2 linked regions of the Notamacropus eugenii genome follow. The protein of the gene in region 2 interacts with the protein of the main gene of each other region in a biochemical or structural test. Links are inferred from orthologs where the notes say so. Each region holds a gene or a part of one and is shown on either strand. Other genes may lie near its edges.

Region 1 (7,242 bases), on a different chromosome or scaffold from region 2:
GTGCCTAGTACAGTGCCTGGTACATAGGAAGTGCTTCATGTTTGTTGAGTGAATACCAAAGTTCACTACTGTCAAAAGCAAAATCACGGTATACTTTTCACCCTTCTAATTAGTATTTTAAACTATGCAATCAAACATAATAAACTGTAGACAAATATTAGAAAAGGATGAGAAAATTATCTCATGTTGACTTAGATTTAAAATGTAACGTAACCTATGTTGTATTTTTATTTTGTTAAATATTTCCCAATTACATCAAATTTAATTAATCTAATATACATCTAATTAATCTAATTTAATTCAGTAGGCTGCTTGACACCTGTGCTCAATAAGAGAACAAGTATTTATCCAGCCTTCTTAAAGATCTTCACTGTGGGGAACCTTATACTTCCCAAGATATCTGTATCCCAATATGCTATCTTGATGACTCGTTTCTCAGATTGTTTATGAATGTGATGTGACATGGGTTCGTAAAATACACATTTGTTTCATGAGTCAATCAGCATTTCTTCTTTGGATTATATTTACAGAAGACAATGTCAGAGGTGAGTCGGGCTTTTATTCAAAAAGTTTGTCCACTATCACAACTCCAGCACATGACCCAGATTTTAATATGCTGACACAATCCTACACTCACACTTACTAGAGGGAATATTTGAGATTCATTCTTACATTTATTTATTCCTATGGGGCATATGAAGCCACTCATGTTCTCGGCAAAACCAATTATTGGTCTTTTCACTTTTTGACAAAACTAATTTCTTTCCTAATATCCTAAAGTGCTATTTCCTGACTAGTTATTACTGCTGTTCAGTTAACGTGTGCCCCACTGACATACTTACTGTACAAATAAATGTAATGCAGTAATAGTCTACAAATTTGTCTACAAATAAATGTAATGCAGTAATAGTGGGGTATCTACTAAGAGACAGTCAATCTGGCACCAGTCTACATTGAAACAGCAAGCCTAATATGCCCTTTGGGTGGAATAGTGGCAGATAACAGCACCAGCAGACACCAAGCATGAAATCCATTAACAGCATACCAGCAGACACAGGAGGCCGAGGCAGACGACCACCTAGCGTGACTCGTGCATCTGTTCTCCCCTTACGCCCCATCTTGGGGGTTGACAGGTCTACACCTATCAACATCCAGCAAGACAACCTGTTGCCTTTCCTCTTTCCCAAATAAGACCAAGTTTTGATGTTTCATATTTATTTTAAAAATGTCCTCTACTGTTTTAGTCCACCACATTCTGTTACCTTGTATCTGTGCGGTTTATTTTTTAATCTAACTGCAAGACTTTATATTCATCCCTATTAAATCTCAGACTATAAGAACTGAGCAAACATTCTGGCCTCTCAAGAATGTTTTGAATCCTGACTGTCCTCGAGCGTTCTGGCTATCCCTAGCAAATCTGGAAATTTTTCCAAGTCTGCAATCTTGTGTTTCCTCTCCTTTGCTATCACAAGAAGCGATGCTACAAATATTCTGGTGTATATGGAGATTTTCTCTTTATCAATGAATTCCTCGGAATATGCCATTTTATGTGTATCATTCCAAGTTTCCAGAATGGCTGCACTAATTCACAGTTTCATCACCAATGTATCAGTGTGCCTGTCTTTCCACACTGAATACTTATTCCTTTTGTCACCTATGCCAATTTTCTGGGTATGAGATGAAACCTTAGTACTGTTGGGATCTGTGTTTCTCTTATCACTGATCTGAAGCCTTCTCTCCTGTAGCTATCAGTCTGCAATTCGTCATTTGACAATTGTCTATTCATATCCTTTGACAGTTCAATTACTGGCAGGTGGGTCTTAGCCTCTGGAAGCAGGTAAACAAGAGCTGAACTCTTAAGGACACCAAGGATTCGATCGTCTATGGCACTTATTCTACACTCGTGGTATTCCCTCAGCAGACTGTGAGCTTTTGGAAAGCACTTCAGATTTACAGCTGGAAAAGGCTTCCGAATCAACTCGTCCAATCCTTTACTTGGCAGACGGGGACACTAGGGCTCAGAACAGTTATGAGTCTTGACCAAACTTGAAGGAGGGCGAAATTTGAACCCAGGGCCCAGGTTCTAAATCTGGTGTCCTTTCTACCACTCCCCCCACGCCCCTTCCCCTTTCAGAACCATGCAGACCTTTATCATCAAGGCCTTTCCAACACCCAGGACAGACGATTCATCCCCTCTCTGGGAAGCAACTCCTTAGATTGTAACCCCCCCAGGGGCTGTCTCCTTACCCCGTCTCCCCAGGGCTCGGCACAGGGCTCGGCACAGTGCCCGGCACAGGGGAGAGGCTTAATAAACGTTCCGTGATTAGCATGCTTCCTTGGCACAATGGCCCTGGGCAAGAAGGGCTGCCTGCATGACCGCCCAGGCTCGGGGCCCAGAATTTCTCGGTCAGACAAGCATTTAATAGGCACCAACAAGATACGGGATTAAGGGAGACACTACATGAGAGGCGGCAGGGCTGCAGCCGAGGAAAGCGGGACACGGTCTGGGGGCGTTGTCAGAGGCTGTACCCCAGATCTCCGGGTACAGGGGCAAAGGGAGGAGGGTCCGAGGCCCGGCTCCGAGCTCGCTCAGCATTCCCGGGAGCCCCGAGCGGGACCCACAGAGCTCCAGCGCCGAGCCGGCCGGGCCTGCCGCGCATGCGCGCCCCCGCTCCCCTCCCCCTCCACGCTCCCCATCCCAACGCCTCCGGAGGCCCCGGCGGGCCCCGCCTCCGACATCGGCGGCCGCCAGCCGCGCCCGAGACCCTCCTGCTCTTCCGCACCGCCCGCTCCCGCCTCCCCCGGGGTGGCACTCACTTGCCCGCCAGGTCCTTGTGAGACCCGCTCGAGTTCATTAGCTGGCCCAAGTCCTGTCGCACCGCCGCCGCCATCTTCGCTCCGGCCCCGACCCCGCCCCCAGCCCCGGCAAAGGACGTCACTCTTTCTCCCGGAAGAGAGAACGAGTGGAAGCCTCCAGCGTTCGGCTAGAGGGACCGGAAGTGCCGTCGAGAAGGCGGGAGCAGGCTAGAGCGTCTATTCGCCTTCTTCCCTTTCTCACCACCGGAAGTGTGGGCGGAGCCGGAAGACGGAGGCGGGACAGGGGCGGGACAGGGGCGGGACAGGGGCAGGCAGCCAGTTAAGTTTCTGTTTAGGAAACGGGAGGGAATATTTGGATTTTGGGGGGCCTCCTTATTTTACACGTGGTGGAAAGAGGCAGCAGGTGTTACAGGTGGGATAAAAACAACAACAGTCTTAAAACCAACGCTTCCATGGCCCTTTAAGGTTTGAAAAAAAATGCCAGCTTGTTTCTCTGATCAAGGCCTCGTAGCCAAGACCCATACGGAACTGAATTGATAAGACTTGAGCGCCGCCCCCCAACAAACGGATGCTCAGATGATGTGAATGACTTTCAAAGGAAAAAAATCCGAGCTGTCGATCATCTTTGGGGAAAAAATACTGTCAATCTCTAATAATTAGAGAAATTCAAATTAAATCAACTTGGAAGATGCACCTCACACTCAGGACACTGACAGAGATTAAAAATGGCTGATGGAAATGACTCCATGGAGGGATTGTGGAAGAACAAGGACCTACCTGGGCCCTTCTGGTGGAGCTGTGAACTGTGCCAGACAGTCTGGAAAGCAAGTGGATGCATTCCCAGAAAGTTACTAAAGTGTTTTCCACCTGTCACCGACTTTTGTCCCTACCAGGACTCTGCCTCCAAGAAATCAAAGAAAGAGGAAAAAATATTCATCGCAGCTCTTTTTGTTGTAACCAAAATTCAGAAACTAAGCAGCTTTCCTCCTATTATATGAATAAATGATGTGAGTTTAATGGAATCCTATTGCGCCCAAAAAAATGATGAAATGGATAGTTTCAAAGAAAACTGAAGGGATCCCTATGAACTCAGTTGAGCTAAATAAAGGCTGGGAGAGTAATTTATAAATGAACATATCACAGAGAAAAAACTTTGAAAGTTGAACCGTAACCAAGGCAATGAGAAAAGCCTTGAGTCCAGAAGACTGAAGATGAAAACACCACTGGCTTCCTGCCAAAGATAACCAACTCAAAATGCAATGGGAATATGTTGTGCTGGACCATGCCTATTTGTGATGGTTTTCTTTTCTTTCATTTTTGACAGGTTTTTTTCATGCAAAAGCTAATTTCATGCAACCAAAATTGTTCATTTTCTATCATATGAACCTCTCTTAATGCTTATTTATTAATATACTCTTCCTCTATCCATAGATCTGGAAGGCAGTTTCTTCCCTGCTTCTTTAATTTATGTTGTGCTTTCCTCTAGATTGTGTATCCATTTGTAGTTTATCTTGGTTATACAGTGTCAGGGTTAGAAATCTAGTTTCTGCCAGGCTGCTGCCCAGTTTTCTCAGCCCTTATCTATTTATTACTGCTCTCCAGTTAAATTTTCCTTTAAATTTTTAGATGCTATGCTATTAGGTGTATGCATGTTAAGTATTGAAGTTAATTTCTCATCCGTGGTACCTTGAAGCATAATGTAAATTATCTGTTTATCTGTTTCTATTATGTTTATACTTACTATAACCTTACCTGAAATCATGATGGCTGTCTCTTCTTACTTTGAATTCTGGACAAGTAGAATAGATTTTGCTTCAACCCTTCATTTTAACTGTTTGAGAATCTTTGTGTTTCTAGTGTTTCTTTAAACATTGTTGGATTCTTTTTTTCTAATTCGTTTTTCTCTCTTCCATTTTATTGAGTGAATTCATCCCATTCGTATTCATGTTAAATATTTATTTCTCTCCAACTTATATCCTTGACATTTTTTTCTCTTCCTTCCCACCCTGCTCTTTACAAATAAGGTTAGTTGTAATTTACAAATGAAGTAGCTTTTTTCTTCTCTGTTGCAGCTCTTTTCTTCCCCTTTCTCTAACTTTAATGCCAGGTTTTTACTCTTTATTTCTGTCCTCCTAAATCTCTTTCAAGTTCTTCTCTCCAACATTTCAGTTTATGAGTTGAATTTTCTCACCTGTAAATCAAAACTGCTGCTGTGCTCTGCATTGTTCTGGTTCTGGGGCCACAGAATCCAGGAGCTTACAAGGTACAGATGAGACAACATACCATGTATTGTACCTGTGTGGACCTTGCCTTTTCCACATGCTTTAGGTGACTTTTAATATATTTCACAGAATCTCAGCATTGGAAGGAACTATATAGCACACTTAGTCTAAATAGTGTCATCAAAGAATTCTCATTACAACACACAAGTGATCATTCTGAGTAGCCTCTGCTTGAAGAAATCGAGTGACTGGCAACCATTCCCTCATGGGGGAGGCCATTGTACTTTGAGATAGCTGTAATTGTTAGAAAGTCATCCCTTACATCAGATCTAAATTTCCCTCCGCAGTTTTCACCCAGTGCTCTAGGGCTGCCTTCTGAGACCAAAAAGAACAAGACAGTTCCTCAATTGCACACAGATCAGAGGATGCTAACCTTTAGAGCTGAAAAGATCTCAGAACCCTTCTAGTCTATCCTGCACCAAAATGGAAGGAATCTCCTTATAGGATGTACACCATCCAGCTTTTGCTTTTTCTGTCTCAGTCCTCTCTACTGTCACCTTCTGGCTACATAACTAGTATAACTCGATTTTTTTTTAAAGGAATTTGAAAAGACAGTGGTGAGACCATCAAATATTTTTGGCTTGCCCTAACTATAGGTGTTTGGAGGATAGCAAGTAGAGTTTGACCCACTTTGCCAGAATCAAAATGACTTCATTGCCCCCTTACTATTCTAGGGGTTTGCACCCAAAAGCTGGTTGACTTTTCTCCATTGTCATTAACTTGTACTGCACTTGTTGTCACCCTCTACTCTAGCAGAGACTGACCAGCAGCACCCCAGTTCCATGTCACCATGAAACAATTTTTCAGAGGAAGATAGACTTTGAAGATACAGGAAGAACAAAAGTGCAAACATTTTCCCCTTCCTGGCACCTTGCAGGGCACGCTCAGAACCACCTTGGCTTCTGGGGACAGTGGCACTGTTTCTATATAGCATTGGTTACACCAAGTTCACACCCAAATGGGGCATCACTGCGAATTAGTCCTTTTGGACTGGTCCCAAATATTACTCCTTGGGACATCAACACTGGGCTAGCTGAAAAAACCCAGCATAGACTCAACTCCTGTACTACCCAGACTCCTGATTTTGGTTTTGGTGTTTTAAACTCAAGGACCTGGCTTCAATTCCTCCACCTAAAACAAAAGACCACAGCCCTAGCCCCATTTTCACAGGACCACATGTCAGCCTTAGAAGGGGAGGACCCAAGCCTCTCTCCTTGTACCATAGGCTCTCCCAGGCCACTATCTGCAAAGGAGTCAAACCAAGAACAGAGATCCTCCAAAAAGGAGACCAAGGCCTTTGGAAGGTGTCCTCAATTCTAATTCTCCAACAGCAACCAAAAAGGCCTCCATCCACCATGTTCTTAGTGGATCCAAACCAGTTACAGAATGTCTGTGCTGCTCCAAAGTACTCTCTAAGATCAATCATTATGACGGTCCCAGAAGCAGGTACCCCATCAGAAGTGCTCTGCACATGTACCAGTCGGTCCCCTGTTAGAGAAATAAACATATATCTTATAAATCAGTCACTTATGTACTTGGGCCATTCTTATTTATCGAAATGCATTTATTGTATATTTTTAAACCAGAAGGGAAATTCAGCCAGTTCTTAGTTACCTGGTAATCTGAATGGGAAAACATGGATCATTGAAATTCATAGATACAAACTTTTCTTTGCTGAAGTAGCTCACAAGGGAATACAGGGAGATCTTAGATTCCCAACTGCAGAAACAGTATTGTGGACAGATCAGAGGGTTGTAGGAAGGGACCAACACCCCTATTTTACCCATGAGGAAGATTAAGTGATTTGAATAAGGCTACCCAGTTAAAGAAGTAGTATTTGAACCTAATTGTATGAGCTGGGCTCTTTCCACTGTACCACATGACCTCTAAAGGTGATGGAATGTAATTGTTAATATGCCCAAACCTGACAGTTGACTAGCTTTGAAAATGTGAGTTATTGTCCCCTCAGCTGACCCTCCTGGCCCCCTAATGTCTTATTACTTGTTTTCTGACTGTGACAGTTAATCAGTATCTCTTAAATGCCTATGTAGTGTATAAAGTATTGCCACAAACTCTGGAGATACAAAAGATAGGATGTGACTATTTCTTGTACTTCCTGGAGAACAAGGTTAATTGAAAAAAT
Region 2 (7,577 bases):
TTCAATCTAATCCCTCTTGATGGCAGTATTGGGCATTACTGATCACCATCTCCTCCATATTTTCCCCTCTCTGAATATTCATGGCATGAGTCTCTTTACTGCTTGACTGCTCCTTCTATGACACTTTTGCCAATTCATCATCCATGTCATACTCAATGGGGTACAGGTGGTGTACCCCAAGGATCTGGGCCTCTTTTATCTCTATTTTCTTTCATCAACTCTCATGGGTTCAATTACTATCTCCATGCAGAGGACTCCCAGATCTATACATTCAGCCCAATTCTCTCCCCACTAACTGAATAAGCGGTACCAAATAGATGTCCAACAAACATCTCAAACACAATCAAAAACAGAACTCATTATCTTTCTGTCCAGACTCGCCCCTCTAGTAGAAGTCCCTGTAAGGGTATCTCTTGATTTGCAACCTCATTATTATCCCTGACTCTTCCTATTACCTTACATAGCCAAACTTGCCAAATCCTGTCATTTCTATAGAATATTTCTACAACATCTCTGAAGTCCTTTTCTGTCTTTCCACTCACACAACACCCTAGTTCAGATTGTTCATCTGAACCCTCCTCCATTCCAGTCTTATTATCTCCAGTCATCCTGATGAATATCTGGTCACTGGATTCAGATGGCTCTGAAGGAGAAGTGAGGCTGGTGACTTGCACAGCCCTCCCTCACTCAAAACAAGACAAGTGCAAGACATGTCATCATTTTTCTGATGGCATGGTCTTCTTCAGCAACGAAGGATGAACACACACCTGCCTTATTACGATGGCCTCCTATTTAGTCTCCTTACTTATGTGTCTTCCCATTCCAAACTTTTCTCCATAGACCTGACAGTGATTTCCCCAAATGCAGGTCTGACCATTGTCAACTCCCTAGTTAATAAACTCCAAGGTTTCCATACTCTCTCCACAATCAAATATTAATTCCTTTCTTTGGCATTTAAAGTCTTTCACAATGTGGCCCTGGCCCACTTTTCCATACTTATTATATATTACTTACTGGCTTCTTGCACTCTATAGTCTAGTCAAACTGGTCTCCTGACTGTTCCTCACATGCACACAAAAACAAAACTACACTATACAAATATGAACAGAAAATTAACGCACCATCTGTTAAGTAGAACCATATAAAGAGGAATGGATTTATACTGAAAATGTTCTCCTGGGTTGAAATCAGAGAACATTCACTTTTGCTTGTATTTGCATTGTATATGGTAAATACTTACACAAAGAATTATAACTCTAAATTAAGTTAGTATGCTCACTATTTATTGTATATCTTTCTACAGAAAAATATATTAAAATATATTTTCAAAAAAAAAATTCAATTGTTTGGCTAACTACACTGATCCCATAATAGATTACTAACCAAAATATTATTTACAGGACATACACAGGAAAATAAGTAAGTGCAAACAAGCAGGATACTCTCATTGGACTGACATTAAGCATAAAAACTGCTATGGTACTAAAAAATGTTTTAAATTTCAAAACATTTCATCTTTATCTCATCCTTTTCAAATTCTTATTTTTGTATATGTTTCATAAAGCATATTTGTACAGTAATTCATGCATATAATTTAAAAATACATATATTTTGGGGTGTTTGTTCAAAAAATGTTTAACTGATGGGACTGGGCACAGAATCAAAAAAAATTGGAAGATCTTGTGCCCCTTGGTTGTTTGTTAGCTGTTCGGTGGTGTCAGGCTCTGTGACCCCATTTGCAGTTTTACTGGCAAAGATACTGACTGGAATGGTTCCTTCTCCAGTTCACTTTACAGATGAGGAAACTGAGGCGAACTGGGTGAAGTGACTTGTCCAGGGTCACACAGCTAGTGTCAGCAGCCAGATCTGAACTCAGGAAGCTGAGTCTTCCTGATTGCATGCCTGGCACTCTATTTTGCCACTGCCCCTTACGTGGTACTTTTTCACAGGACCACGCCTTTCCCATTCCTCTTTCGCCAGCTATCTGCCTAGTTACCTACAAGAACTTGTTAATAATAATGGAAGTGATTCTCTTATACGTCTCCAGCTTCTCAACAACAGCCTTCGCTGCTGAGAGGCCTCGTAGCCCTAACCTCGGCGGACCCTGCTGGGTTTGGAGGCAGATATACCGCTCAACAGTGGCAGTCACCGGCTGCCACTCTGCGCTCTGATCTAAAGGGGGAGGCAGGGACGGTGGACGGAGCTTCCTAAGAGGGTCCTCGAGGCTCTTCACAGGTACCCACCTCTCGGACGTTGGGCATGTCCAACAGCTCCCCGAAAACGTAGACGCCTGGGGCCTCCAGCACCTGGTGGATGAGGGTGGCCAAGGCGGCGCCTTTGGCCGACTTGGCCAGAAGCAGGAACTGCTCCTGGTTCTGCCCTGTCACCTTCACCTCGGAGCTCATGGCTGGCCTGGGCGGGGGACCACGGGGCTCGGGAGGCCTGGAGCTGCAAGGAAGCAGGAAGGACCACGTGGGGGGAGGCCCTTACAAATGGAGGCTCGTCAGAGGAAAAGACTCGGACTAGTGTTGCGGGAGACAGGGGCAACCCCCGCCCCCAGCCGCCCTCTCGGGAACGTAGGGTTAAGGGGAAGGACTGGACCCTGCTGCTCTGCCAGCTCCCCCCCTTCGAGGGGAGGGGCGTGCGCGTGCGAGGCACGTGCCCCCTGCTCGCCTCCTGGCCCGCGTGACCCCCGCCCCCTTCTCGCTTTCCGCCGGGCTCCGCCCCCGCCCCTCCAGTCTCCCCCCGGCCCTTAAGGGGGCCGACCCAGGGGCTGCGGACTCTAGCCCAGCAGCCCCAAAGCGGGCTCTGTGGGGCAGCAGCTACCTGTCGCCTTCGCCCTTCGCGTGCACTTAGAGGGATGGCCCCTCCCTCACCTCCGCCAGCTGCTAGAAACCGTTACCACTGCCTCCCTCCGTGGCCACTCTGGCCACAAAACTCTATGACCCGCTCCCGAGGCCCCCACTTCCGCTCCTTTACGTCACAGGCTCCGGAAGTCTCCCGGGGCGGGATGCAGAGGGCTCTCCGGCCCTTTCTACGTTCTGATTGGCCATCATCGGGAGAATGGCAGGCGACTGCTGGGTTTTTTTTCTCCTTGACTTTCAAAAAAACTTTATTGTTTAGAAATGCTGTGTGATAATTGCAGACGCCTCTGGATTCCACAAGTTTGAGCGTCCCGCACTTCCCGTTAGGGAAAGCCTTCCGGGAAGCTGTCCTGGCGGCGTGATGGCGGGCTTACCGCGGTAGATGCTGCGTGGGCAAGAAAGGGACGGGGAAGAAAAGGAGACAGAGCCGGGAGAAGAGGGACCTTCGGGGCTGGAAAGGACCTTAGAAGTCATCTAGTCCGACCCATTATTTTTTCTTAAAAAAAATACATTTTACTGATGCCTTTTGTCTTTGCATCAGTCACTTCCTCCCCCGCCTCTACTAGATTGAGCAGTCCCGTGAAAAAGATAAACAATTAAGCGAAAACATGCACATCTTGCTTTGTCTGACGAGGTCTATGTCCCCCATTTCTCTGCAGTGAGGAAGGAGCTCTTCGGAGTCTGTTATTGGGATTTAAAAAATTGTTTTATTGATTATATTTTTTAATATCGATGTCCTAATGATTCTCCTCTCCCTATAGAACCTTCTCTTGTAACACGGAAGCATAGTTAACTAAAATAAATATTTTATAAACTAATATATTAGCCATGCCTGAAAATGCATTTCTCATTTTGTAGCCTATAGTCCACCATCTCTTTTATGAGACTCTAAAGTCATAATCTGTCAGAGTTATGAACTTTCAGTTTTATTTTCCTTTACATTATCGTAGTCATCACGTCAATTGCTTTGATTCTGCATCAGTTCATCTCAAGCTTGTTTGAATTTTTCCTATTTCTATTTCATTTGACACAATAATATTCCATTACATTCATATAACCAATGATCTGTTCTGACATTTTTCCAGTTAATATCGATTTATTTCCACATCATTACTAGGACAAAAAGTCTTCACGTTCTCTTCATTTTATTTTTTTTAAGGCTTTGTCTTTGTCTTTGTATTACAGCCATTTCCCACCCCTTCTCCTGAATGAATTTTCCTTTGTAACAAAAAAGCCATTAAGCAAAAACATCTGACCATGCGAGACATAGGTACAATAGTCTGTCCTCGAATCATCCCTCTGACAGTCAGAAAGGAGGTATGTTTCATCATCTCTTCTCAGAAATTGTCATTCCATTATTCCTTTTATTAAGACTACTACAGTGTTGTGGTTCTGTATATTTTTCTTTTACTCCTGCTTATTATATATTAGTTCATATAAAATCTTCCCATAGTTCCCCAAATTCTTCATGGTCAGCACTTTTTCACTTCATTCATATTCTATTACATGTAACAGCTCATTCTTTTAACAGCCTCCAACTGAGGAGCACCTACTTTGTTTTGTTTGTTTCTATCACAAAGAGTACTTGGTATTTTGTTATATTTTGGACCTTTATTCCTTGTCTTTTACATTATGTACCCAGCAGTGAGACTGCTGGGGCAAAAAGTATTAATTTAGTTACTTTTCTTATATGATTCCAACTAGAAATCCAGAATGGTGGTACTTCTTAGCTCTATGACTAGAATATCAGTATGCCTAACCATCATCCATAGCCTCTCCAATATTAACTCTTCTCATCTTTTTTCATCTCTGCCAATCTGCATGGTGTGAGTTTTTCTTATTTGCATTTCTCTTTCTATTAGTGATTCATGTTTTGATTTGATAAATGTGTAGTTTGCAGTTCTCCTCTTGAAAATTGTTTATTCATATCCTTTGGTCAATTATGTACTTGGGAATGGCTCTTGATGCTATAAATTTGTGTCATTTCCCTGTCCAACCCCCTTATTCAACAGGAACATAGACCTTAAGTGGCTGAGTAACTTGCCAATGGTCACACCAATAGTAAGTAGGATAGTCAAGATTTGAGCCCAGCTCCATTGTTCCACATTTTGTTACTCATTAATTGTGTGCCCATGGGGAGGTTATTTGACCTATGTCTCAGTTTCCTCATCTGCAAAATGACAAAGTTGAATTAGATCCTAAATTCCTTTCTGACTCCTAAGAGGGTATGATTCTATTTATGAACTGGGAGAGAGGAAGGGAAGTAAGGACAAAGGGTGATAAAAAAAAAAAAAGATAGGACAGCAGGTAGTAGAGATGAGAGAGGGATAGATGAGAGGAAAGCAGAAAAGGCAAATGAGAAAGGTGATAAAAAGTGAGGATAAAGAAAGAGGATAGAAATAGAGAAGACAAATAGAGAAACAGCAGAAGATAACAATTGAGTCTTTCACTTTGTACAGTTCCCCAAACAAGTAATTCATTTATTCATTCACCCAACAAAAATTAACTCAACGTCTGCACGGGGCATTCTGCTAATAAGGCTGAGGGGGAGCTTGGAAAACATAACTAATCAGAGAAAGAAAATGTCTAACAGAGACCTGAAGAAGAAAAGTACTGAGAACTAAAACAGACCTATTCAACCAGTCATCTACTGAAAGTTATGTTAAATTGTTATGCCAAATGCTGGCATATTGCTCAGTTTTATGTAAAGAAACATCACAGCACAAATGCGAGGATTATAAAAAATACCAGGAACAAAAGGGATTTAAGAAATGACTCTAAAGAAATGTAGCAAAATCAGCAGATGGAACTCAGCTAATGACCCAATGTCCTACACGCTTCCCTCCCCCCCCAACACATGGACATATATAAATACACAAATTTTACAGATTGGGAATACCCATTGCACATACACATATCCCAGGCAGAAACCCAGCATACACATATATCCAAAGTACATACTGAACATACACACATGAAAAGGGGACTTACATCTAGCATGGCACAACCAGGGTACATACCAACAGCAGACAGAACACACACTAAGTGTTCCAGTGTGCACAACTGACTCTTCTTCACTGAGCTGTGTGGAACAAATTGACAGAAACACAACAGCGTTTGATAACTTCTGGGAGCCTATCCTCAACAATAATCTCTCTTCTAATTCTGGGTAATAACCAAATGGTAGGCAAAGGTAAAAGATGGGAAAGAAGCTTGGCATATAACGTTAGATCCTGAATACGAAAATATTGATGAAAAAATTAAGAGAAAGAAATTGGGGGAAAAGAGATAGGGGACAGAGAGTTTTACAATCAGAGATGAAAATCATTCAATTAAGAAGCATTTATTAAGTGTTCACTATTTGCCAGGCATTATGCTAGATGTTTGGTTTCGAAGAGAAAAATAAAACAGTTCTTGATCTCAAATAGTTTATATTCTTTGTGGGTGTGGGAGTGTGTAGGAAAGAGTAGATGGAGAGGCAAATAGAAAATGAAAGACTAACCCAAGGATGGAAGAAGAAAAAGGAAAGAAAGGAGAGTGGAGGGTGATCTGAGTCACAGGAAAGTTTCCTAGAAGCCAAGTCCCTGCCTCATATATATCAGTAATTCCTGAGGGCTATACATTCACAACCCAGGAAGTTGTTAATAGGATTGGGATTTTTACACTGTTTTTCTAGGCCTTGTCCCAAGGAGAAGAAAGAAGGTGGTCTGGTAGGGGATATGAATTGAGATCACATGGAATTAAGTGATGCAGAACTGGGGTGCCAGAGTTCAGGTGACCCTGATGTGGGGGACATGAAGTGAGATGGAATTGGGGTGACAAAGTGGGAACATAGGAAGTTGGAACGATACTCAAATGAGGTGATACGCTTCTTATGGTGAAGAGTAGGTAGATATACTGAAAGTCATATAGGCACGACCTGGAATCTCAGGATGACCAACAGCCTTCCTCTACTCCACATCCCAGACCATCCGGGGATCCCCGGATCCCCAGCGGCATGGGAACAGGAGGGTTAAATAGTGCGTGGCAGGCGGAGACGGAAGGTCTGAGCTGACGCCTAGCCAAGACAAGACAAGACGAGCTGAGCAGAGCTGAACTGAGCCTCTGCCGCCGCCCCACACCCGGGGCGCCTCCTCCCGCGCCCCGCCCGCTAGTCCCCTGACCATGCGCCTGGCCTGGCGCCCCCCGCAGCCCCCTAACCCCTCACAGCCTCTAGCCCCCCTAGTCATCCCGAAACATCAGCCACGGAGCAGGTGAGTGCGACACCCTGCAACCTCCATCCCTCATCCCAGGTGCCCAGGCTCTGTCCTTCCTGGCTCCTGCGTCCTTTCCTAGCCTGCTTCTTTTCCAGCCCCCAATTTTCCATCTGTCTTGTCCCTATTTCTCATGCCTCCATCCCTCCTTCCCCATTTCTCTTTCCATCACCACCATCACCATTTCTATCCATCTAGATCCGCATCTTTCATTCATCCATCTAGATCCGCATCTTTCATTCCGTATCTCTATCTCCATCCTTTATTTTCCGGCTCCAGCTCTCTGGTCCCAGCTGTCGCCATCCCTTTTCCCCTCTCCTTGCCTGCATTCTCCGTCTCCCCATTCCTCCTCCCTTTTCCCATCCCTTCTCCTTCGCTCTCTTCCCTCTTGTTTTCCTTCTTTTCCTTTCATTGGCCTCTTCCTCCTCGGTGACTCTCCCCTTCACCCCCCTTACTGTCC

The links. The genes of interacting proteins can lie anywhere in the genome.
Region 1: the proteins of COPS7A (region 2) and COPS4 form a complex in vitro, tested with the Homo sapiens proteins (2 studies listed by BioGRID). The link is inferred for Notamacropus eugenii from reciprocal best matches to the Homo sapiens genes COPS7A and COPS4.

Annotation. Positions count from the first base shown.
Region 1 is NC_092878.1:150,618,967-150,626,208, reverse strand, and holds the start of COPS4 (COP9 signalosome complex subunit 4), read right to left. Parts: upstream 3,022-7,242; 5' UTR 2,892-3,021; coding exon 2,818-2,891; intron 1-2,817. UniProt on the Homo sapiens protein: Component of the COP9 signalosome complex (CSN), a complex involved in various cellular and developmental processes.
Region 2 is NC_092874.1:194,985,058-194,992,634, reverse strand, and holds the start of COPS7A (COP9 signalosome complex subunit 7a), read right to left. Parts: upstream 3,008-7,577; 5' UTR 2,827-3,007; intron 2,449-2,826; 5' UTR 2,406-2,448; coding exon 2,244-2,405; intron 1-2,243.